3 linked regions of the Elephas maximus indicus genome follow. The protein of the gene in region 3 purifies or fractionates together with the protein of the main gene of each other region. This does not show direct contact. Links are inferred from orthologs where the notes say so. Each region holds a gene or a part of one and is shown on either strand. Other genes may lie near its edges.

Region 1 (7,440 bases), about 19 Mb from region 3:
CCCATAGGGTTTGCTAGGCTGTAATCTTTACTACTACAGCAAACAGTCAGGTCTTTCGCCCTCGGAGCCACTGGGTGGGTTTAAACCACCGACCTTTATGTTAGAAGATGATCGCAAACCGCTTGCACCACTCAGGGACTTAAGGGAACGGAAGAGAGATGATATTCTAGGCAGGAGAAAGCATGAGCCACAGCGGCAGGGAGGGTGGCAGGGGATCCTGGGAACCTGGACAGCAGTAGGGTGGAAGCAGGGAAAGGAGAGGTAAGCTTCCTAGATCCAAGTTTTCCCACAAAGGAAAAAATTTAAATTGCTATCAAACTTGGGCTTCACAATTCTGCTTTTCAGTCATGATTAAGGTGGATTATATTTTATAAGGCAGTTTTTCAAAATGCTGTTGAAGTTCAAAGTTATGTCACTCCCACAGAAGCCAAACACTCTGAGGGCCTAAAGAAATCTTAAACAGTGCGATTAAAAACCAACTCATTTTACAAATGAGGAAATACAGGCTCAGCAAAGTTTAGCTCAGACTAGACCCCATGTCTTTGCTCTCAAGCAAAATGTTCTACGTCTAAGCAAAAATAAATGAATAAATAAACACCACACATATACGTAAGCTAGTAACAACACACAGCTATATATAGAGCTAGAAAAATCTATGAGTGAATAAAACACAGGAAAATCACTAAAAGTGTCATAATTTTGTTACTAAATAAAATTCACATATTACAAACTAGGAGCTTAACCTCCTCAGGGAGCTTAAAATCCCAAATTTGATTTATTCCTCATTTGATGCTCATTTTTCGATCTTGAAAATCAAACAAAAAAACACACTTTACTAAAACTACCAGATAAGCTTAAAAATCAAGATGAACTTAGAATTGATCCTTAGAACTATTATTCTTTTCTCTAGAAATATCTAAAAGACAAGCTTAAAATGAAGCTAACAATCCCCAAAAGGCATTTTATTCCAGGCTGACCCACTCAATTGTCAAGGGTAGATGGGACCTACGGAGAATTAAAACAGCAAAGAATAAAAATACAAACACGTTCACAAGTTTTTGGGGCCCTCATTTTTTTAAACTGAAGAATGTCAAGTAATTCTAGACATTTTAAAGACTAGTGTGTTCAGACTGTCTATGACTGGGCATACTGGGAGTGAACTTCTGAAAAAGATCCCCAAGGACCTGAGAAGGGTCTTTCCAATCAGAGGCCGCATCCCGGACTCTGTAGTAGCACAAGCGGGTTTGCCTCATCTTTCCAACATGGAAGAGCCTCAACTATCAGGCTACTTTTTTCATTTTCAAACACAAAGTGCAATATTTAGCCTGGGGGAAAAAATGATTCAAAAAAAAAAAAACTCACAAAAAGATAAACAAATTCGACACCTTAAATCTAGTTTTGAAGGGGAAAAAAGCTAAGTAAAGTTTCACAAACTGTTTTCTTGGCACCTGCTTGATTTCCACAGGTAAAGAAAACCTGGGCATATCTTTTGGGGCATTGGGCTAGATACTGGGGTACGGAGGGGGAAAGGACGAGGTAATGAAAAAGAAAGGATGGAGGAAAAAGACAGCAAATTCAATAACAGTGCAATAACAGTAACAAAGCTTGCATTCGTGAACAGTGTAATTGGGGTGTTTTCTGTAACCAAAATCAGGGCAAGTGGTCAAACAATAGGTATAACAGGTAGAACTACTCAGAACATTCATCCAAACACTGAGGTACCACCTTGACCAAGTTCTGTGCTAATCTGGGATGCAAAAATAAATAAGGAATATTCCTTGCCCTCAAGGAATCCAGTTTGAAACATACGGGAAATAAAGCTGTGTTCATCACCGAGGCTAATTATCACCAGGTGCTCATTAAGCATCAGGAACCTAACCTGCTTTAATACTCTGCGACGCTGTGCATAACCGGCTCACACACGCGAGTGTCCCTCAGTTTTCTGATGGGGTACAAGTTAGCAATGGGGCTGCCTACAAGGGCTAGGGCTAGGGGCTCTGAGAGTGGGCCGGAGAAATGGGTGAAAACTTCCAGTATACTAAGCTTGGTTGGTTTAGGGGTTTTCAGGCAAAACAGCTTTTAAAAGATGAGACCAGCGACGGAAAAAAGTTTAACATATTCAGAAAGTAATCCAGCCACCCCTCTGAAGCTTCGGGAACACGCTCCAAAACCTCCAAACATGGGCATAGTGGAGTTAACGCCAGGCCACCTTGCGTTCACCAGCTTCGGAATTTGAAATGCGATGCAACTATGTGGACTGTCCATGCAGAGCAATAAACAGAACTTCAAACTAAATTTTTCCTAATATTCAAAAACCTCCCGGACAAAGCGAGCCTCAGGTCCCGGCGCCTCCCCGCCGACACACGGTGTACTTCGCCGGCACCACACGCACCGGCCACACAGCCACACGCCCTGCGGGCTTTCGGGGACGCAGCGAGGCCCCGACGCAGAGCGACCGCAGCCCGCGCAGCTTCCGCGGGGTCGGGACGGAGGCCCGGGCCGCGGCCTAAGTGGAAACCGCTTCGGTTCCCGTCCGTCACTCCGCAACGCGGCTCCAAGACGGCCAGGCCGCTCGCCGCCGCGCTCCCAGCTCCCGCGGAAGGCGCGGCGCGGCGGCCGGCGAGTCGAGCGCCCACCGCGCCGAGGGGCCAGGCCGGTCCTCACGGCGGGTCACCGGGTCACCGCGCCCCGCCTCGTCCCAGCGCGGGTTCGCGCTCGGCCGCAGCCGCCCGTCCGGGCCGCGAGAGAACGGGCCGCCGATTGTGACCCCATAACGGCCGCCGCCGGCCGCGCGCAGCCGCTGCGCTGACTCAGGCCCCTGCCGCCGCGCCGCGTCCCCGCCGCCGCCGCCATTCCGCCGGCGCCGCCTCGGCCCGGCCGCTGCGACACCGCGGCCCGCCGCCGCACTCACCGCGTCCGCGTCCCCTGCGCCGGCCGGCCCCGCGACGTCCGCGCTCCCCGCCCGCCCGGCCCCGAGAAGGCCAGACAAGGCCCGAAGCCCGTCCCGCCGAGGCCTGGCCGCGTCCTGCTCCCGGGCCGCCCCGCCCGCCGTGCGCCGCGCCGCCCGCCTCTTCCTCCGCTCGGCTCCTCCTCCTCCTCCTCCACCTCAGCTCGGCTCCGCCTCCTCCTCAGCCCGGCCCCGCCTCCTCCGCTCGGCTTCCTCCGTCCGACTCCGCCTCTTCCTCCGCTTGGCTCCGCCTCTCCCTGACCCGGCTCCGCCTCCTCCTCGGCCCGGCTGTGTCTCCTCCTCAGCTCCTCGGCCCGGCTGTCTCCTTCTCAGCCCGGCTCCGCCTCCCCCCTGGCTCGGCTCCGCCTCCTCCTCAGCCTCCTCGGCCCAGCTCTGTCTCCTCCTCCGCTCGGCTCCGCCTTCTCCTCCGTTCACCTCCTTCACCTTTTCTTCTTCTTCCTCTTCCTCAGCCCGGCTCCTCCTCCTGCCTCCTCCCGCCGCACCTGGTCCTCGCCGGGCCTGCCGCCGTCTCGCTACCTCAGAGCCCACGGCCGGTCCTGGACGCCGACAACACTGAGCCCTGAGGGCCGCGGTCTCCGCAGGTGGGGCAAGTGGGGGCAAAGAGGGGGCGGGAAGTGTGCGCGGGCACCACAGACACACGACACACACCGCACAAGTATACACCGCACTTTATACCACATATCACGTATGTACACACATACCCCACACTACATATAGGTCACACATATACACACACCACACAGATGCACACCACACACAGACCCTCACACCACACACACCCACCTCACATGTTCACAAACATACCTGCCACATCACACATATACCACACAGACACACCTCACACATTCACACACCACACAGGTACGTCACACATCTCAGTACTCATACACATGTACATACACTGCGTGGATACACACCACACACAGATACAGCACACAGACACGCCTCACGTTCACACAGGCATACATGCCACATCACACATACACCACACACACATCACCACATATACTGCACATACCTCCCATGTTCACACACCACATGATACATCACACACCTCACCACACATACGTATGTGTGTACACCACATGGATACACTTCACATACATGTACACACACCACACAGGTACACTGCACACCCACCCTCACACCATAAAGAAATGCACCACACATAGCTCACATGTTCACACAGACATATGCATGTCACACCACACATATGCTACACAGACACATACATCAAACACCACACACACACACTGCATACATCTCTCATGTTCACACACTACTCAGAATATACATCCCACACCACATAGACACATACACGACACATCACACACACCTCATACCACAAACACACTGCACACACAATCACACAAATATAACACACACACATACACTACAGACATGCACATCATGCCACACCATATCACACCACACAGACACAGATGTACACCACCAGACATATCATACAAGGACATCACGTACACAGACATCCCATCAATAGGCTTCTTGGGATGGAAGATAAATGCACCGGAGGCAAACCTAATGTAGTATCCTGATGGGCAGGTAAGACAGTCAGCTGTGGGAGATGGCCTGAAAATGAGGCCCAGACATCACACCGAAGTGTGGGATTCTCAGTGTCCTACACCTGCAGGCCTTAGGAATCAGGACCTAAAAGCCTGGGATTATCTGCACCTCTTTTTTTTGATCATTTCTAAAATAGAACCAAACCAAGCTTCCCTTTTCAAGTCCTGTAACCAAATCATTTTTGGCAAATTTTCACCAAGATTCACTTTATTATTAATCTTTGTAAAACCAAATTAAAAACAGACAGAATTTAAAAATTTGATTGCATGTATGTATAGTATGAGATGTGACTAAGTATTTTCTTAACATGCAGGCTGAAGTAGTTAATCCCATTAGTTTGAAATTAAGTGTCATACTCCCTACCTGAAATACTCAAGTTAAATATAAACTTTGGCAGCCCAAGTAGCTACCCGATATGTGGCAGAGGCTGAGAAGGCATGGATAGCCGCATACCTAGGGCCGTCACTCACAACCTAACTCTGTGAACAAGCAAGGAAGGATTTCAAATTGTCATCTGACTAAGAGATGTGAAGAATGTGACTTCCCAAACTAAAACACTGCAGAGATTCTAGTTCCATGCTGGGCAGCAGCCCTCGGCCTAGAGCAGAGGCACTACCTCCATTCACTACTTCCTGAGTAACCACCTGTCTCTTGTAAGACACATCCCATCAGGGTATTTGGCTCTTCCTACTGAACTGTGGTCTTTTCTCAACATCTTTTATACATTCTTATTGCCAAAATAGATGATCCTCCAAAATGCTTGGGGGATAGCCTACATTACTAATGATCTAGTAAGGAAAACATAGGTGTATTTTAACAGTTTTCTTGTTGGGCACTTGGTAAGATTGGAGGTAAAATGGAAGGCTTTTCCCTGGGGACCACACTTTCCACTGTAGATACGTGGTGTTTTTTATTTCCTCACTTCCTTTTCTTAGACAGACTAGGAAAAAAGGCCTGGTGATGTATTTCTGAAAATTAGCCAGTGAAAACCCAGTGGAGCCCCCAGGCTGTCAGGCACTCAAAATACACGGTGGCCAAAACAATGGTCATGAGCATACCAACAATCACAAAGATGACACAGGACCAGGCAGTGTTTCGTTCTGTTGTACATGGGTCACCAGGAGTTGGAGCCAACTCAACAGCAGCTAACAACAACATATGTAAAATATGAAGCAGATGTTTTCCTACCACAGTCACAAAATATATCCGACTGTGGAACCATAGGATAGGTAGCCCCCCACTTTCTCAACTCTTGACTTATAAATGGCTTGCATACAGAAAGGCCTTCACAAAAGGCCTTGCTTTTATTGCTTGGATTTTCACCAAAGATTCTTCAGTAACCTCTCCTAAAAATCAAAATAGCTCCAGGAGGGTAACAGAGCTTGAGTCATTCAGTCACATTTAGCATTAACTAGTTGAGTTGGGTTGTCTTCTTTCTAACATGGATCAGTCCCACCTAAAGAATGGGAAGTTTTGGGCAAGTCTGAGAGAACACTGAGGGTCTCAGAGCAAGCTGAAAGCCTTGGGGCCAGTGGACCTGGGAGAGGAACCTTTAGGAATGGAATGGAATGCAGGAAAGGAGATGGGAGGATTTAAAATTCTAACTTTTCTCGTTTCAGGTATTCATATTGCCACTGCTATGCCTCTTGTTTTGGGATCCAGAAGTCAGAAAATACTACTGTAAGATAGTTATGAATTAAGTAGACATTTGAGGTCTTTCCTGAGGGACTTAAATGCCATCGTTACATTCAGTTAAGTTGGGGCCTATGAAATAGCCATTTTCAAATGATTCAACCTAGAACTGGCGAGCATTCAGAGTTCCAGAAAACTGTCCTAAAATCCTTTGTCCAGGAAGCTTTCTATGACCCTCCAAACCTACTCCACCCTCATCTCTAGATAAGGTGTTCTTTCACTGAAGAGTTTATAATTTGGCATTGCAATTTATTTTCCTTCCATATTTCCCTCTCCATCACAGATTGTTTCTTGAATCCAGAGTGTAAAATGGTGGGAGTAGTAGCATCAGTACCTGTCTAACTTCAGGGGGTGTATAATGAGAATCAAGATCAGCCCATGACTGATCCCTATGAGGTGGAGGTCAGACATCTACACACTCCAACCTCTTTACTAGTTCTGATACCAGCTGTCCCTCCCACTGCACTCTCTACTTCTCATCTGGGTTCGAAAATCTGTTGTCATGGCCACAAAGAACTCACAGACCATACCTACAGTTAAGTGGTTTATTAAGGAAGTAGGGTACAACTTGGGATCAGGATTAGGAAGCATGTAGGCAGAGCCTTTAGTGCAGGACAGCTCTTTCAGCTCCTCTGGGTTGTGCAAGCAAGCAGGACCTCTCTGCTGTGCACACTCCCTCTGGGCTGTGCAGGCCTCCTCTCGGTCCCCTCAGGACAAGCCTCTTCTTGGCCATCTCAGGACAAGGTTCCTCTTGGCTCCTCAGGACAGGCTTCTTCTCAACTCCCTCAGAACAGGCCTCCTATTGGTCCCTGAGGACAGGCCTTCCTGCCTTTGGCTCTGCCACAGAGCCTCTTCCGGGCCTGTCACTGTCTTCAGTGTTCCAGCCCTTGACCCATATGGATCCTTTAGAAGGTTCTTTGCTTCTTCTCTCTCTGCTGCTTTTCTCCTTTTTGCATCTTCCTGCTTCCCGTTTTCTACTTTTTCTGTCTTGTCTCAAAAAACCTCTGTGGGGTTGGCGACTTCTGTCTGCAACTCCTTGTCAATTTCAAGGCATTGCCCCTCCAGCAGGCACCACAAGTTGACCAATCCTCTCTCAGTAGGCCACAGATAATTCATTTGCATAGTAGGCTACAGACACTTCATTTGTGACTATAGTTTGATCATAGCAGATTATGGATAAAGTTGTGAAGGATGGG
Region 2 (8,017 bases), on a different chromosome or scaffold from region 3:
CTGCCAGCTGTACAATGCAGGTTGAAGTATGTGAGCTCCCAACTCCTATAGAAGCAGCTCCACATTTAGTAGTTTCTACACTTAAGAGAAGGCTTGACATTTTCATTTGGAAAAAAAGCTCTATTGCAAAGTATGAAAGCCATTGCTACAACTCATTTCTAACTCTCTAGTACCCAGGCCAACAATGACAACAATAAAGCTAACACCTCTGAGAAGGCCCACACCTCTGCCCACCACCCAGCCTCCTCCCTGATGGTCTTGATCCAGACAGACCACAGGAACCCCCTCCTGCCAGCCCTAACACCTGGCCTGATTCCTCTCACCCAGTGCTGCTTTCCAGATCAGTGTTCCTAAAACTTTATTGTGCATAAAAATCAACCGGGAATTCTGTTAAACTCCAGATTCTGACTCATTAAGTCTGGGGCCTGACAGTCTGCATTTCTAACAAGTTCCTAGGTGATGCTGATGTTGTTGGTCTGTGGACCCCACTTGGAGTAGTGAGGATCTAGAGCAAGGTTATGGAAACATGCCAACTGGTGCCCCTTCCCCCTTCCTGGACTCATGGCCCAGGCTGCAGGAATCTTACAGAATACTACAGAGCAACAAGATAGGGAAATTAGGGTTTGTTTTTGGAACATCTGTCCGTTGGAACAGCCTTTCCATAAGGGGAAGTGTCCCCAGAAGGTCAGCCAGGTAAGATGCCCAAAAGGGCCCCTACTGAGGCCAGATGGGTCCTGAGACAGCTCCCAACTTACATGATGCACCCAATAGACCACACATCCACCTCGAAACTGTGCCCTTTCTTGCTCAGCACCTCAGGAGCAATGTAATTAGGAGTCCCACACAGGGTCTTCTTCCGCTCCCCGTCATACTCAACTTTGGTGGCCAGTCCAAAATCCCCTGGGACAGAAGGAGGAAGAGGGGATGCTCAGATGCCAGTCTCTGCCAGCTGTCAATGCAGACAGCTGGTTCAGATTCAACCATCAAGCCCCACAGTCATTTGTTCCCACAAGTCTCTACTCCTTGCACCCAGGGAGGCTTGCCCAGGAATCCTCCCATCTGCTGACCCCAGGATGATGCCACCCAGTGTTCCCCCAGTCCCCCATAAAAAGGAGGGCTATGCTTCTAAAAGGGAACAAGACAGGGACAGCAAAACTCAAACACCTACAGGGATCAAGCAAGTAACCTCATGACTGATGCTTGGTAAGTTTGAGGAAGTAATAGGGAGGGGTAGGGACTGTGGCAAACCAGAGGGATTCTAAAGGGGACAGCTGCTTTCAGCCCAGAAAAGGGCTGCCCTCAGGGAATGCTGTCCCTGTGTTGCTGGTGCTTCTAATCGTTTAAAAGGAGCTCCAAATCCAAATTTTTATGTCAAGCCTCCCAAGTGAAAAAAACTAATTCTAATTCTTACAAAAAAAAAAAAAAAATACTGTGAAGGGGCACAAAATGCATTTACAGGCAAGATACTGGCTTGTGGGCCCTTTGTTTTAAATTTCTGGGCTAAAGAGGGACTCTAGAGGGAATCAACAGCTCAGACTTCCCATCACCTCATCCTCCCTTGCCTTCTTCCTGTTTCCTCCCTCCCTCCACTTCCTCATCCTTCTTCCCCGCTTCTAGTGGTGCAGGGCACCCCTACAGGCCCAGCACCTCACCTATTTTCACCTCCAGGTCTTCATTCAGAAAGAGGTTGCCCAGCTTGAGGTCCCGGTGAATGACACGGTTTCGGTGCAAGTACTGGCAGCCAAGGACTATCTGCCGCAGGTAGTAGCGGGCCTCAGGCTCTGTCAGCGCTTTCCTCCGTTTGTGCAGCTCCAGAAGGGACTAGGCCCCAGTAGGAGGAGGAACGGAGAGGTGGCACTGAGGATGTGGGGTCGCCAGGGAAAGGCAGCCCAGGACTGGACCCTGGACCCCCAGCGGCAGGCAAAGGTATACGGGAAGGATCTTGACAGATTCTTTCCCTCTCCTATCCCCTCTTGCATTCCTTCTTCAGGACAACCCCAAGCTGGACCCATGCCCTAACCCTGGCTATTACAGCTCACAGCACTCTCTCCCAGTAGCGCCTTCCTCCCAAGATCCTTATCTGGGACGCCTCTTCCAGCTCCACTCCCGAAGCTCAGAGTCCCCAGTACTCTTTCCTTTCTCTCCCCTGGAAGCTCCGAAGTCTGGCTCCAGCCCTTCTGTTCCTCCCCAGCCCCACTCCGGCAGCTCCAGGTCCCCAGCGCCCTTTACCCAGGGCTCCTCCCATAGGAACTCTGGGGGCCCTAGTATTTATTCACTACCAGAGTTCTCCCCTCTCCAAACACCTCGCGTCCAGGAGCTGCCTTCCCCAGCAGCAACAAAACTCAGGCTCCACTTAACCCCCTACGCAAGCAGCCTCAAGTGCCAAGCACCCCCTACCCGAGACCTTCCCCTGCCCCACCTAGAGGTTCCCAGCAACCCTTCCCTAGCAGCTGCGGGTCCCGGGCGCTCCTTCCCCAGGAAGTCCTTCCCAGCAGCTCAGGGCCCCCAGCGCCCCAACACCGGCCCCCAAGCAACTGCAATCCTCCGTCAGAGACCCTCACCCTCCGGCGGCAGAGCTCCAGCACCACGAACACAAAGTCGTTGTCCTCGAAAAAGCCGTGGAAGCCGACGACGTGCTGGTGGGCGAGGCTGCGGTGAATAGATATTTCCATGGACATCTTCTCCTTCTGGTGCGGCTTGAGCAACAGCGACTTAGGCACGATCTTGCCGGCGAACACCTCCTTGGTGTCTGCGTCCGAGATCTCGAAGCACTTGGCAAAGCCTCCCTTGCCCAGGAAGCGACCGCGCAGATAGCGCCGCCGGCTGCGAGGATCCACTAGGACCTCCGGGATCTCTTTCGCCGGCGGGGCGGACGCCGTAGCCCCGGGAACCGCAATTCCCGGGGCCCCGGTCTTCCCGGTCTCTGCCGGTGCCCGTGCCAGCTTCCCTGCCGTCACCACCGCACTCATGCTCTCGAAGTTGCTCAGCGGGCTTACCAGGGTCTGGGTAGACGCTCCGCACCGCTCCGCTCCGCTCCGCTCCGCTCCCCTCGAATTCAAACGCGGCGCCGGGAACGTTACAAAACCCTGCGCGCCACTGATTGGCCGCGGGGATTTAAAATCCAAACCCGCCCACCGCGCGGCACCATGGGAGCGCTCTGCAAAGCCGCCGCCTTTAAACCTTCGCTCAGCAGGGAAGGAAACTTGATTGGGAGGGACGCGCGGACAGCACACACGTGGGATGCCTTGGAAACTCGGCTTGGGAATGCCTGCGGAGGGGAGTTCAGGGTGTCTCCCGTTCGGGGGCAGCTGGGGGAGCTCCTGCAATTCACATGCACGTCGTCCAGGCTTTTCCTAACACGTTCCTTTACCACCCCTCCCCCTGCCCCGTCCTCCATTCCCACCCCGCCTACCACAACGTAAGCGCTATAAGAGTAGAGACCTGGCAGAGCCAAGGGGTAGCTCGGGACAAGCTTAGCACCCGCCTCCGTGGTCATCAGCTCTCTACCAAGCCACCCCAAATAAACTACGTAAAAACAGAATGCTTGCCAGGCAAATGTACCTTCACAGCAAGTCCCCTAGGCCCCCTCCAAATAAATAGCTGCTCCTGAGCCCCTCTGCATTACAGAGCCACGCTACTCAAAGTCTGGTCCAGGGACCCAGCATCACCATCACCTGAGCATTGGTAGAAAGGCCTCACCCCAGACCTCCTGAGTCAGAAGCCACCTTTCAACAAGATTGCCCAGGTGATTCCTACACACACTTTAGTTTGAGAAGCCCAGTACCCACTATGCAAGAAAGCTGTTTGGCTTGCTCCCTGCTATCCCAATGCCTAAAAAAAAGTGTACGCTCAATTTGTTGGTCACAGGGAGGAATGGCTGATGGGATGAATGCCTAGCAACCCGACAGGCCATGGCCAGATTTGGCCAGCAGGGGTATTTCGTTTGGCCTCCCCACTTTTTAAAAATTGAATTCATTTACAGGATTTAAAAATCGAGAGCTCAAATTAAAAAAAAAAATCACATTTGTGGCTTTTCCCGAAAAAACCCAGAAGTTAAGCAACAGTAGGCCTGCATGTCTTCCCAGTTTGCCAGTTCCCACCTCTCCGCCTTTGCCCATTTGCCTGTCTGGCTTCTGTAGGTATGTGAGTGGCAACCCTGGAATGGCCATATACCCAAGTTAGAAGCCCCTTTTCTGTAGCCCCTTAGCACCCTCTGATGTCCTTGATAAAGTTTGCAAGAATCAACCATCTTGTAAGCACATCTTTACCTGCCTCCCAATTAAACCAGGCGACAATGACAATGATGCTGTCTTTTCTACTCCATGTCTTGCTCCCAACACAATGCTTGGGGTGAAAGGGGTAATGAGCAGAATAAAAAGTTAAAAAAAAAAAAGTTTTTTTTTAATCCTGCGTAACCACCTTTTTTCTTTGAACTTTTTATTTATGTTTAATATATTCATAGAGGAAGTGCACGTATCACAACTTACAGCTCGATGAGGTTCCACAAACTGAACACACCCCATGTAACTGGCAACCGGACGGAGAAAGAGAACATTACCAACACCCCTGAAGCCCCCCTGGGGCCCTGTGTTGGGGGTCCCCAAAGCCACTCCCAGTCAATGATTTGCTAGAAGACTCACAGGACTTGGCATATACTTTTATTCATGGCTATGATTTATTACAGCAAAAGGACATGAAGCGAACTCAGCAAAGGGAAAAGGGGCATGGGACAAAGCCCGGAGGGAACCAGGTGGAGTTGCACAGTATGCATTTAGCTCTTCAGCAATAAGTTATGACGATACGTGTGAAATGTTGTCTACCAGGGAAGCTCATTAGAGCCTCAGTGTCTGGAGTTTTTACTGGGGGTTGGTCACATGGACACTCTTTGCCTAGTACATACCAAAACTTCAGACTCCCAGAAAGAAAGCAGGTGTTCAGCATAAAACATGTTGTTTGCCCCAACAGTTTAGATACAGTGACTCATCCTTATCACTTAGGGAATGGTGACAGCCCTCCCAAAATTCAAGGTCCTAGATGCCAGTCAGGGGCCAGCTTTGCAAACAGGGCTTTCTGAGGCTAGCACTCTCAGGTCTTGCTGTGTTAACTCTTTTCTGCACAGTCTACCCCCTTGGCCCTTGGCTAAGGTTTCCTTACAGCAAAATTATTATCAGTGGGACCCCAGGCCTCAGGGTGAGACCAACCTGCAGTACGGATCTCAGTTATGCCTTTAGGTGCAAATTAAAATAAGCCCTGTATCCACGGTACCACCAGGGCAGTTCCTAGGCCTCTCATATTTCCTTATTCTCCCCCTCTCCTGTCCCTACTGCTTCCTCAGGCTCTTGCTGCTCCCATGGGAAAACAAAAACCACACTCAAGAGACACGAAAGGTTGAGGAGACTATAGCTGAAAAAAGTCAAGTTGGTAGGACCAAGAAAATCCACAGGCCCAAGGTCTGAGAGCCAGAAAGGACATGGATTCCATTCCTGTGTCTCTTTTCTTGAAAGATGTTCCTCTCCATGCCCTATGTTCCTAATGCCCAGTGAACTGGGAGATCCAGAACCAGCTCATTTGCTCTCCTCAAGGAAGCAAGATGCCCTGTGCCAACTCTTCTCACTTCAGGATCCAGGTCAGAGGGGAACAACCCACCAGCAAAAACCTAAGGAAAGCAAAGGGTTAACCAACAAGGCAGTAAGTGTAGTCCTCAGAGCCAACTGCTTTGGAGGCCCAGGGTATTGGAGAAGCTGCATGGAGCATGGACTTCGAGGCCAGATAAGACTTGGTTTTGATTTCAACTCAGCCATTTATTAGCTGTGTGATGTTGGGCAAATTTACTTAAATTCTCTGAATGTCAGGTTCCTCCTCTGTAAAATGGGTTGCAAAAATCCCTACTGTTTTGACAGTTGGAAGGATTAAATGTTTTGTACTAAGTGCCTAGCACCCTATAGATGCAAAACAAGGAAGAATGAGTTCTTTTCCACCAACTCTTCTTTGTACCGGACCAATTATAAAGGGCAAGATGTTCTTAATTTTACTTTAAAATTTTTTAAAAAATGGAGCAGCAGAGGAAGAAGGAGACTGAGGAATCGGGACAGGAACATGATTGCAGGTCTAACTGCCTCCATGAACTACTGCCTCCTCAGCCATGAGACCAAAAGAACTGGATGGTGCCAGCTACCGTTACTGAACGTTTTGATCAAGGAATCAAGAGATGAATCCTGATCAAAAGTGGGGTGTCTTAGCCTGGGTCTTCTAGAGAAGCAAAACCAGTAAAGTGTATAAATATATAAAAAAAAAAAAATTTTTTTTTTTTTTTTTTTATATAGAGAGATTCATATCAAGGAAAAGGCTCACGAGACTATAGAGGCTGGAATGTCCCCAGTCTGTGGATCAGAATAGAGGCTTTTCTCAATTAACGTAGCCGCTGGGGCTGGTGAACCCAAGATAGGCAGGCTGAAGAGCGGGACTCCCGCTCTCAGGCTGTGAAGATCTACGAATCCCAAGATCTGCAGATAAGCTGATAGCTCAAGTCCCAAGAGTAAAAGGTCAGACAAACAGAATGCGGCTGGAGAATCCAGAATGAGCAAAAAGCCAGAACATCTCCTTATATTCGGATGAAGGCCACATCCCCACAGAAACTCCCTTTCAACTGATTGGCCACTCAGAGTAGATTCCATCATGGGAGCGATCACATATAAACACTGAGAATCATGGCCTAGCCAAGCTGACACACAATATTAACCATCACGGGGGGGAATGTCGAACAGAATTGTATATTCTTATAGAATCCAGACTTACTGGGCTTACTGAGACTGGAGGAAACCCTGAATCTATCACTCTGAGAAAATTTTCAAACCGTGAACCAAAATTATCCTCTGAAGTCATCTTTAAACTAAACAACTGTTTAGCTAAGTGAGTAAGGGATGTTCACCATGACCATTGTGCTTTTTTAAAGAACTTTCTACATGAGATCAAACTGCCAGTAGTAACTCTAAAGCATAGATGAGAACTTTAGTGGGTAGTGAGTCTAACTCAATGTTGGTGAAACAACATGGGTAGAGACACCAAGAATGGTGACACAATGTGAAGAACATAACCAATGTTTCTAAATTGAATATGTAGAAACTGATGAATGGGTGTATGTTCTGCTGTGTATATTTTCACCAAAATTGAAATTAAGAAAAAAAATTAAAAATATATAAGAATGGAGAATATAAGGGGTTTCCTTCTAGGTATATCATTTCCCAATATTAATAGTAATTTAACTACCATTTATTGAGTGGTAACCCTGAACCAGACACTATACTCATACTTTACACGTGTGAATACATTTAAATCACCCTAACAGTCCCTTCCCCATTTTATGGATAAGAAATCTGAGGTTTCATGAGGTGAGCTAACTTGCCCAAAGTCACAAGACTAGTAAATTGCAGGGCTGGGACTTGATCTGCCTGAGATCAGAGCCCACACTCCTCACCACTATGGTGACTTTCAAGACGGGCGCCTCAGGCCTCCATCAGAGAACTCTATGTTCTGTTTGCTTGGCTTTCTCCCCACTCAACTGCAAGATCCCTATGGGCAAAAGCTGGCTTTTATTTTCCACTGTATCTCTAGAACCCAGGCCAGTGCCTGGTATCCAACAGTGGCTCAATAATTACTTGTTAAATGAATAAATGAGTGAATGGTACCTTCTCTCTCTGTGTAGCATGTGGACTGGGCCCCACCTTCCTACCCCCAAAGAACCGCAATTATAAGATCTACAAAGGCACAACCCTGTCACTGAAGGCTCCAGAAGCGCTTCAGTAACCATGGATTTATGGGAAGTGATCCAAACTGGCAGGACACTTTGCTGATACCAGTTCTGAAATAAACAGGCTTCTGGACACATGGTCCCAGCACTGCCACTGCCATTTCAGGGTCTTTGCAGTGCCACAGAATAGAGTCTCCATCCCTAAAAGATTGGCCAGCTGGATCTCACCACCCATAGCAACCACCCAGGTTTGTTTGATGCCAATCTGCC
Region 3 (7,787 bases):
TCTAAAAGGGCTCCCAGCAATCCCTGCCTGCTGCTATTCCCAGCCTTGTGTAATCCTCTCCTCTCTGAGTGTGGACTGGACGTGACTTGCTTCTAATGAACAGAATATGGTAAAAGTGATGGGATGTCACTTCTGAGATTAGATTACAGATTAGGTTCTGGCTTCTGTCTTACTCTATGGCTTGCTCTGATGAAGCCAATCACAGTGTTGTAAACTCTCCCCATGGAGAAGCCCAAGTAGCAAGGCACTGAAGGAGGCCTTCAGCCAACGATCAGCGTGGAAGTGAAACCCTCAGCCATGAGGAAATGAGTTCTGGCAGCAACCAAGCGAGCGAGCTTGGGAGTGGATCCTTCCCGAGGAAAATCTTCAGATGACTGCAGCACTGGCTGACACTTTGACTGCAGCCTATGACAGACCCTGAGCCCTATGGTTCAGCTAAGCCAAGCCTGGATTCCTGATCCACAGAAATTGTGAGATAATGTGTGTTGTTTTAAGCCACTAAGTTTTAGAGTAATTTTTTTTTTACACAGAATAGATAACTAATACACAAAGGAAAATCCAGAAAGACAAGAAATGTACACAGTTAAAAAAAAAAAAAAAACAACTATCAGGTTTGGGTACCAAGAGTCCTAGGATATAATCCTGGCTCTGCTATTTGTTAGTAGGTTGATCTTGGGCAAGTCGCATGACCTAACTGTCATCTCCCCTGTAAAATGAGGATAATGCTAATACCTATTTTCATAGGTTTAAGGTGAAGATCAAATGTCACAATATATGTGAAAACGCACTATATATGAAAGTTGTTATTTCTTCTCCTCTCAGGCTTTTAGGTTCTCCTTCTATAAAAATAAAGGTTAGATAATCTCAGATGTCACTTTGAGGGATAACATTTTATGATACTGATTTTTGGTAAAATTTTTTTTACCAAGTTTTGATTCTTAATTTTAAAACATCAGAGTAAGTGGTGTAATACCCTGGAGGAATAACAATTCCAGGAGCAGGCAGGAAGCTCAACTTAACGTGAAGTCAAAAAGGATATGGAACTCCACAACAACAACAACAAAAATAAATTGTAATTTAAAAAAAAGATATAGAAAATGTTTCCACTCTGCTAAAGAAGGCTTCTTTGCTTGTAGATTCCAACGGAGGTTGTTCTGCCTGGGGTGATCCATTAACTGACTGCAAGGTGACAGATGTGTCCTTCCTAAAGTAAAGTGACAGACAGAACTGTTAGTAGTAATCCTTTTATGGTACCACTCTGCCCAAGAATTTTTTATCTGGCTTCTCTCGACATTATACTATCAACCACATCAACAGTGGATCTTAACATTCCTGAAAATCTTTTTAGTTATGCTACTCCTCAGATTAATATTTTCTATGGTTTTATACTATTTGCTAAATAAAATTCAAATATTTCAGTATGGCATTCAAAACTGTTTACAGGTTGGCCATACCTAACTTTCCAGCAGTTCCTACCTCTGGAGTGCTCCACTAATCCTGTACTAACAAACTGTTCTCCTACCTCACTCTTCCCAACAGTGTTTTGCATAACTTTAGTAAACGCAAAATGAGACTCCAGGTGACAGTCATGCATTATACAATTTGTACTGCCTTAGATATCAACTCTTTTAACAGCAGAAAAAAACAATTTTCTTATTTCTACCTGAATCAGCCCCTGATACACACCCCTACCCTCCCGCCAAAAAAACCTCAAATCAGAGTAAACATCTTTAGGAGATTTCATGAAAGAATTTCAGAGAAAAAGATCAGCAAAACAATTTTCTCATTTCTAGTGAAAGACATTTCAATGGCAATGGGCTGGGGGGGGGGGAGGATGCTGAAAGACAAGAGTCATTTTAAGAAAAGCACATTAGACCAACACCTATTATATGCAAAAAAAACATATATATGTATTTTTTACTCTAAGAACCTTTCTCAGACTCAGAGAGAGCCTCAGGAAAGCGTGTGGTTCTTGGAAAAAAATCAAAGGATGCATAAATTTAAATGGGATTGTGGTGGTGCAATGGTTAAGAGCTTGGTTGCTAACCAAAAGGTCAGCAGTTCAAATCCACCAGCCGCTCCTTGGAAACCTCATGGGGCAGTTCTACTCTGTCTTATAGGGCCACTATGAGTCGGAATCCGCTCAACCGCAACTAGTTTAACTGAAATTTAGCATTCCTTTCAATTACGAATGAAAGTAAACGTCAGAAGTATTAGCAGGACCTATTAATTTGTCATCAATAGAAATCAGATTTTTCTCATCACATTATGGTTGCTGCGCATGTTTTAAAACAGCGTTTATGTGCATCACTACGAAATTATGGGAAATAACAGACGGGCTGGGTTAACAGACCGACTGGTAGGTATTACTTAATTTTTTAATAAAGAAGCATGTTACTGTAGCTCTTCTTTTACTGTCTTCATAACTGCATTCCAACGTCATTGACTTCCTTTAAAATTCTGTGTATCTTACTTTATGCCTTTAAAAAACATTCCGAGAAGGGGTTCATAAGCCTCACCAGAGTGCCAAAGGGGTCCGTGGCACAAAAAAAGGGTAAAGAACCCCTAAATAAGAGAAGTTAGGCGCGCACATTCAGTTAGCGGTTCTCTTTCTTTCTTTCTGTCCTCCAAATAACTGTCTATGGCAAAATTCCACCCCTCGTGCGGGGTCCGGTGGGGAGAAAAAAAAGCTAAGTGTAGCAACCCCAGTCCCTTTCCGATCCGGGAAAACGCCGTCCCAACGCCAGAGGCGCGGACCAGGGCGACCCCCGAGGCCTATGTTCCCCAATCTCTCTCCAACCTGCCGGCCCCAGTCCCAGAGTTGACTCGCGAACTCACGCATCCGCTCCTCCCTCTTCTGGGGCAATCCCCTCATCTATCAGCTGCCGGATTTTCTGGGGGGTCCCTTCGGGGGAGCGAACAACCGCACCCCAATTCTTTTCCACCCCCGCGACAAAAGTTAGCCCCTCGGTGGGCGCCGCCATCTTGGTCCGTTGCCGAGTTGCTTCCCCGCCGGTTTGAACGCTCAGGAACTTCCGTTCTCGACGGTTAAGATCCGCCTCTGACACGGTTGCCAACGCGAACCAGCAGTCTGACTGTAGACCCATCCCTTCCGTTTTAGAAGGGAGGGCTAAGTAAAGTACTACTTTCATGAACGAGCATATCTGGGCTGACAGCGGATTTATACAGCGATATGCTCCAAATTCAGATGGGATGAAGTCCAACTTTAAAGTAATTAATATTAATATTTAGTATTAACTAAAGTAATTCATTCCCAAATTACTTTTTTTTTTTTCAAACGAGTAAATACGAACCCTCGCTTGAGAGCAAAAAGAGTGGTTGCATTTAGAACCTGTGGCATTTGACACTATTGAACACTCCCTTTTTTGTTCTACAAATATCGAGTGTGTCCTGCTGTTGGTGCGGGAGCCCTGGTGGCTCAGTGGTTAAGAGTTATGTATGGCTGCTAACCAAAAGGTAGGAAGTTGGAATCTGCCAGCTGTTCCTTGGAAACCCTTTGGGGCAATTAATTTTTTTTTTTTTTATAGGGTTGTAGTGAGTCGGAATGACCCCACAGCAAAGGTTTTGGTTTAACTAATGTGCTAGACGCTGCACTGGGTGTTGGCAACGACAGCAGTGAACAAAGGATACATAGTTCTTAGTGGACATCAAGCAAATAGATTTTCCTTTGGTTTTTAAATTATGATTATGTAAGTGCTATGAAGAAGACTTAGTGACGGTATAATTGGAGGACCTAATTTAGTTTTTGGATTGAGAAAGTGGTGCCAGAGCCGAGATGGATGAGACTGCAGGGAAGACATCTGCACAGAATTTTCCAAAGCCTCAGGCTGGAAGGAGTTTGTCTCTCATAATCAACTGAAAAAGAAGACTGCTGGAACTGCGCAGTGTGCAAAAGGAAAAGTGGGACCACCTCCTGCCCTTCTTAGCCTCCTCCCGGTCTCCAACAAAGTTCCGACTCACCAGGACCTGTCATCTACTGACCGTACCACCTTACCACTGTCCCTAACACCACCCCCCAACCCTTTGTTTCTTCTTTCATCATAACCAGTTGTCATGGAGCTGGTTTTGACTCAGGGTGACCCCATGTGTGTCAGAGTGGAAATGTGCTCCTTAGGGTTTTCAATGGCTGATTTTTCAGAGGTATATTGCCAGACCTTTCTTCCAAGGCACCTCTCGGTGGACGCCGACCTCTGGATTAGCAGCCAAGCAAGTTAACTGTTTGCACCCCCTAGGGACTCTTCAGCCATCTTAAATTCATTACCAATTATTATCATCATTCCTTTGCAAAATCTGAATGTAGATTGAGAATTAATGTTAAGGAATTGTTACCCATATAGCTATCGGGCTAAAATTGGTACTATTAAAAACTTTACGTATTATTATCATTGTATCATCCATTCCCACTAATTAAGAAGCAGTTCTTCAGAATCTGCTTTGTGTAGTAAATATCTTAATTCATATTGTACTTTATTGTTTGCATCTATTTATCACAATTCTTTGTTGTTATTGTTAGATGCCAGCGAGTCAATTCCAACTCATAGCGACCCTATAGGACAGAGTAGAACTGCCCCATAAGGTTTCCTAAGCTGGTGGGTTTGAACTGCCAAACTTTTGGTGAGCAACTGAGGGTTTAATCACTGCACCACCAGGGCTCCTTCGCAACTCCAGAGGCGGTATATCAATTACAATTGTATTGGCTTCAGGTAACAAACCCAATTTAACCTAAGCAAGAAGGGGAATTTTGTAGATAGCATTTCTTAAAATTAAGTAATGTTCATTTCACCTTTTTATTTTCTTCATACTGTTTTAAAAGGGAAAATAAGCCCCCTCCTCAATGTTGACAAGTTTTTTTAAATCAATACATTACTTAAGTGCATAAAGTATTTGTCAACTCCTTGTGCTTATACCCCCCTCCCCCCCAGAAAAAAAAAAAAAAAAACCTAACCTGTTGCTGTCAAGTCAATTCTGACTCATAGCGACCCTATAGGCCAGAGTAGAACTGCCCCATAGGGTTTCCAAAGAGCCCCTGGTGAATTCAAACTGCCGACCTTTTGGTTGGCAGCTGTAGCTCTTAACTACTATGCCACCAGGGTTTCCCTTATGCTTGTAAAAATCTTAAAATCAGAACAAAAATTTTAAATCAAACAACTATAAACTCAAAGCAACTCACAATAACGACATTAATTTACTGTGATGAATGATACTGCTTTGCTGAAATAAAATCACCAATGTTGAAGAAAAGTAGAAAAATATAGCCTCAGTTCAGGTTCTCTGTTTAATCCACTTCTGTGATTTAACTTTCAGTAATATTAATGCACGCAGAAAATGCCTGTTTACATAAGCGTGCCGTACCAAAAACACAAAATGGTTTTAATAATTTCAACACCTTGTTTATTAGTTCAGGATTATTGGACCTAATACTTCACAAAAACTTTACCAGGAAGCATTTCTCTAATGTCATTTGATACCTTCATAAAACTGTCTTGTTCGCTTGCAGTTAAGTTAGTGTTATTTAAATCTGCATTAAGGGAGAATCTGAACAAATTATTGCTGCAATTGGGAACAGGAAGTAATATCTGGACTTTGAGTTCTATTATCAGAGATGTTGAAAAAATCTTATAGTTTGAGTGCAGAGCTTTCTAGCTGATTGTCAAAGGAAATCAGTACTCAGATGACTCATTCACACCATTTAGAAAATGATGGGCCGTTAGTCAGTTTTCTTTTCCAACTTCCACTTTTCATTGGGCTTGTAACATTAGAGGCACTGTGGAATTTGCTTTTGGACTGTCTGCTATGATGTCACGCAGCCTTCATCTGGTACAAGTTTGCCCCTTCTCATTAGCCTGCAACAATTAAAGTAATACATATATTACTCCATTGGAGTCTGTCATTTTCATGATGTCAACAAAAAACTAAAGTTATTAAATAATGTAAAAAAGCAAAGTTTAATTATACTCCAGTCTTTCAGTTATAAAGCACCACTACAAGAGTTTTGTCTTCATAATGGATGTTTATAAACCCATGTGGCTTATTGCCTAAACAATATTGCATTGAAATCAGAGCCTAAACAGGATTTCCAACCTTTAGTCATATTGCTCTCAAACACATACTATCGTGTGACTTGATAGACCTTCCCTGTAGCCGGCAGGAGATATTTGGGAGGAGGTCTTTTCCCTGAGGCTGCTGCATATAGGTAGGTTCACCCATGATGGTGGACAGACTTCAGTGCAGTAAAACTTGTGAAAGCCAGAACTCGTGTAAGGCAGAAACCTGTCAGAAAAGGAAAACTGAGATACTTTTTGATAAAAGCGATAGAAAAGTGGTAAGACTGCACCGTGAACGGCAGAAAACTTGAGACCCCTCGAAAAAAGGCAGTCTGGGAGAGTTCTGGCTCTCACAGATATCACTGTATAAATCCTCAACCCAAGTCACTGAAGCTGCAGTGATTTCTGAAAACATTAATCTGATTGTGTACCATCTCTGCTTAAACCCTTCAATGGCTCCTTGTTCTATTAGGATTCAATCTAAACTCCTCGATGAGGCTTACCTTTCCAGTCATCTCAAGCCCAATTGTTTAACTCCTTCCCCCCTCTACCAAACAATCTCCGTTTTACCTTTGTATAGCAAAAGCCCAGGGTTGTTTTTTCCAAACCCCAAAAGGAAATTAAGACCTTCACTTCCAAAGCGACACAAAAACATGGACGCTTTGAGATTAGCTTTTTTAGAGAGGGGATCGTGGGAGCAAACACAGTCCCTGGGTGGGCAGTTGGAACTCACCCAGCAGCACCTGGCAACCTGCTTTGGTAATGCAAACAGCCAAGAAAACCCCATGGTGCAGTTCTATTTTTTAACACATGGGGTCACCACGAACCATAATTCACTGGCAGCAGTGGGTTTGGTATGGGCTCGGGGAGCAAGGATTTGCCTTCAAAAATTCACCAGGTCTCCTACACAGCTTCTTCCCTCCTTCCGGGATTATTTTGAAGCAAATCCTAGACAGCATGAAATTTCATTTATGAACATTTCACTATACCTCTCGAAAAGAGAAGAATACCTTAAAAAAAAAAAAAGGCATCCACGATCCCTAAAAAAAAAATAATTCCTGAATATAATTCAATATTCAGTCCAATTTCTCATTAAAAAAAAAGGAGTTGGTACGTTCCAATCAAGGTGTCAATAAGGTCAAACATTGTATTTGGCTAGTATGTGTCTTGTTGTGTACCATCGAGTAGATTCAGAGTCAGTGACCCCTTGAGTCAAAATAGAACTGCCCCATAGGGTTTTTTAGGCTGTAATTTTTTTTTTTTTTTTAACTTTGTCTGAGCATATCGCCAGACCTTTCTCCTGGTGCAGCTGGGTGGTTATGAACTACCAACCTTTCTGTTTAGCAGCCAAGAGCTTAACAGGTTGCACCACCAACCTTCCTCACAATAAGTTTTTTTTTTTTTTTTTTTTACCAACGCTCCTCACAAGTCTCTTAAAACTCCATTAATACGTTTTTTTTTTTAAGGAGCTGGTGGCGCAGTGGTTAAAGTGATCGACAGCTGACGAAAAGGTTGGCGTTTGAAACTACCAGCAGGCTCCGCGGGAGAAAGCAGTCTGCTTCCGTGGAGATTTACAACCTTGGAAACCCTATAGGGTCGCTATGAGTCAGAATTGACTCCGTGGCAGTGGGTTTTGGGGTTTGGTAATACGTAGGTGCCCCTTTCCTCCTTCTCTTCCTTGCGATATAATGTTGAGGAAAACAGACTGTCTTGAGTTTTTCA

The links.
Region 1: the proteins of ZC3HC1 (region 3) and CUL1 purify together in Homo sapiens (affinity purification with western blotting; 3 studies listed by BioGRID, with this or other methods). This does not show direct contact. The link is inferred for Elephas maximus indicus from reciprocal best matches to the Homo sapiens genes ZC3HC1 and CUL1.
Region 2: the proteins of ZC3HC1 (region 3) and PLK1 purify together in Homo sapiens (affinity purification with mass spectrometry; 3 studies listed by BioGRID and IntAct, counting the BioPlex papers as one, with this or other methods). This does not show direct contact. The link is inferred for Elephas maximus indicus from reciprocal best matches to the Homo sapiens genes ZC3HC1 and PLK1.

Annotation. Positions count from the first base shown.
Region 1 is NC_064826.1:1,461,265-1,468,704, forward strand, and holds the start of CUL1 (cullin-1), read right to left. Parts: upstream 3,051-7,440; 5' UTR 2,912-3,050; intron 40-2,911; exon of another isoform or gene 1-39. UniProt on the Homo sapiens protein: Core component of multiple cullin-RING-based SCF (SKP1-CUL1-F-box protein) E3 ubiquitin-protein ligase complexes, which mediate the ubiquitination of proteins involved in cell cycle progression, signal transduction and transcription.
Region 2 is NC_064830.1:83,878,020-83,886,036, reverse strand, and holds the start of PLK1 (serine/threonine-protein kinase PLK1), read right to left. Parts: upstream 3,091-8,017; 5' UTR 2,970-3,090; coding exon 2,562-2,969; intron 1,822-2,561; coding exon 1,653-1,821; intron 901-1,652; coding exon 756-900; intron 1-755. UniProt on the Homo sapiens protein: Serine/threonine-protein kinase that performs several important functions throughout M phase of the cell cycle, including the regulation of centrosome maturation and spindle assembly, the removal of cohesins from chromosome arms, the inactivation of anaphase-promoting complex/cyclosome (APC/C) inhibitors, and the regulation of mitotic exit and cytokinesis.
Region 3 is NC_064826.1:20,160,370-20,168,156, reverse strand, and holds the start of ZC3HC1 (zinc finger C3HC-type protein 1), read right to left. Parts: upstream 3,031-7,787; 5' UTR 2,985-3,030; coding exon 2,839-2,984; intron 1,205-2,838; coding exon 1,093-1,204; intron 1-1,092. UniProt on the Homo sapiens protein: Required for proper positioning of a substantial amount of TPR at the nuclear basket (NB) through interaction with TPR.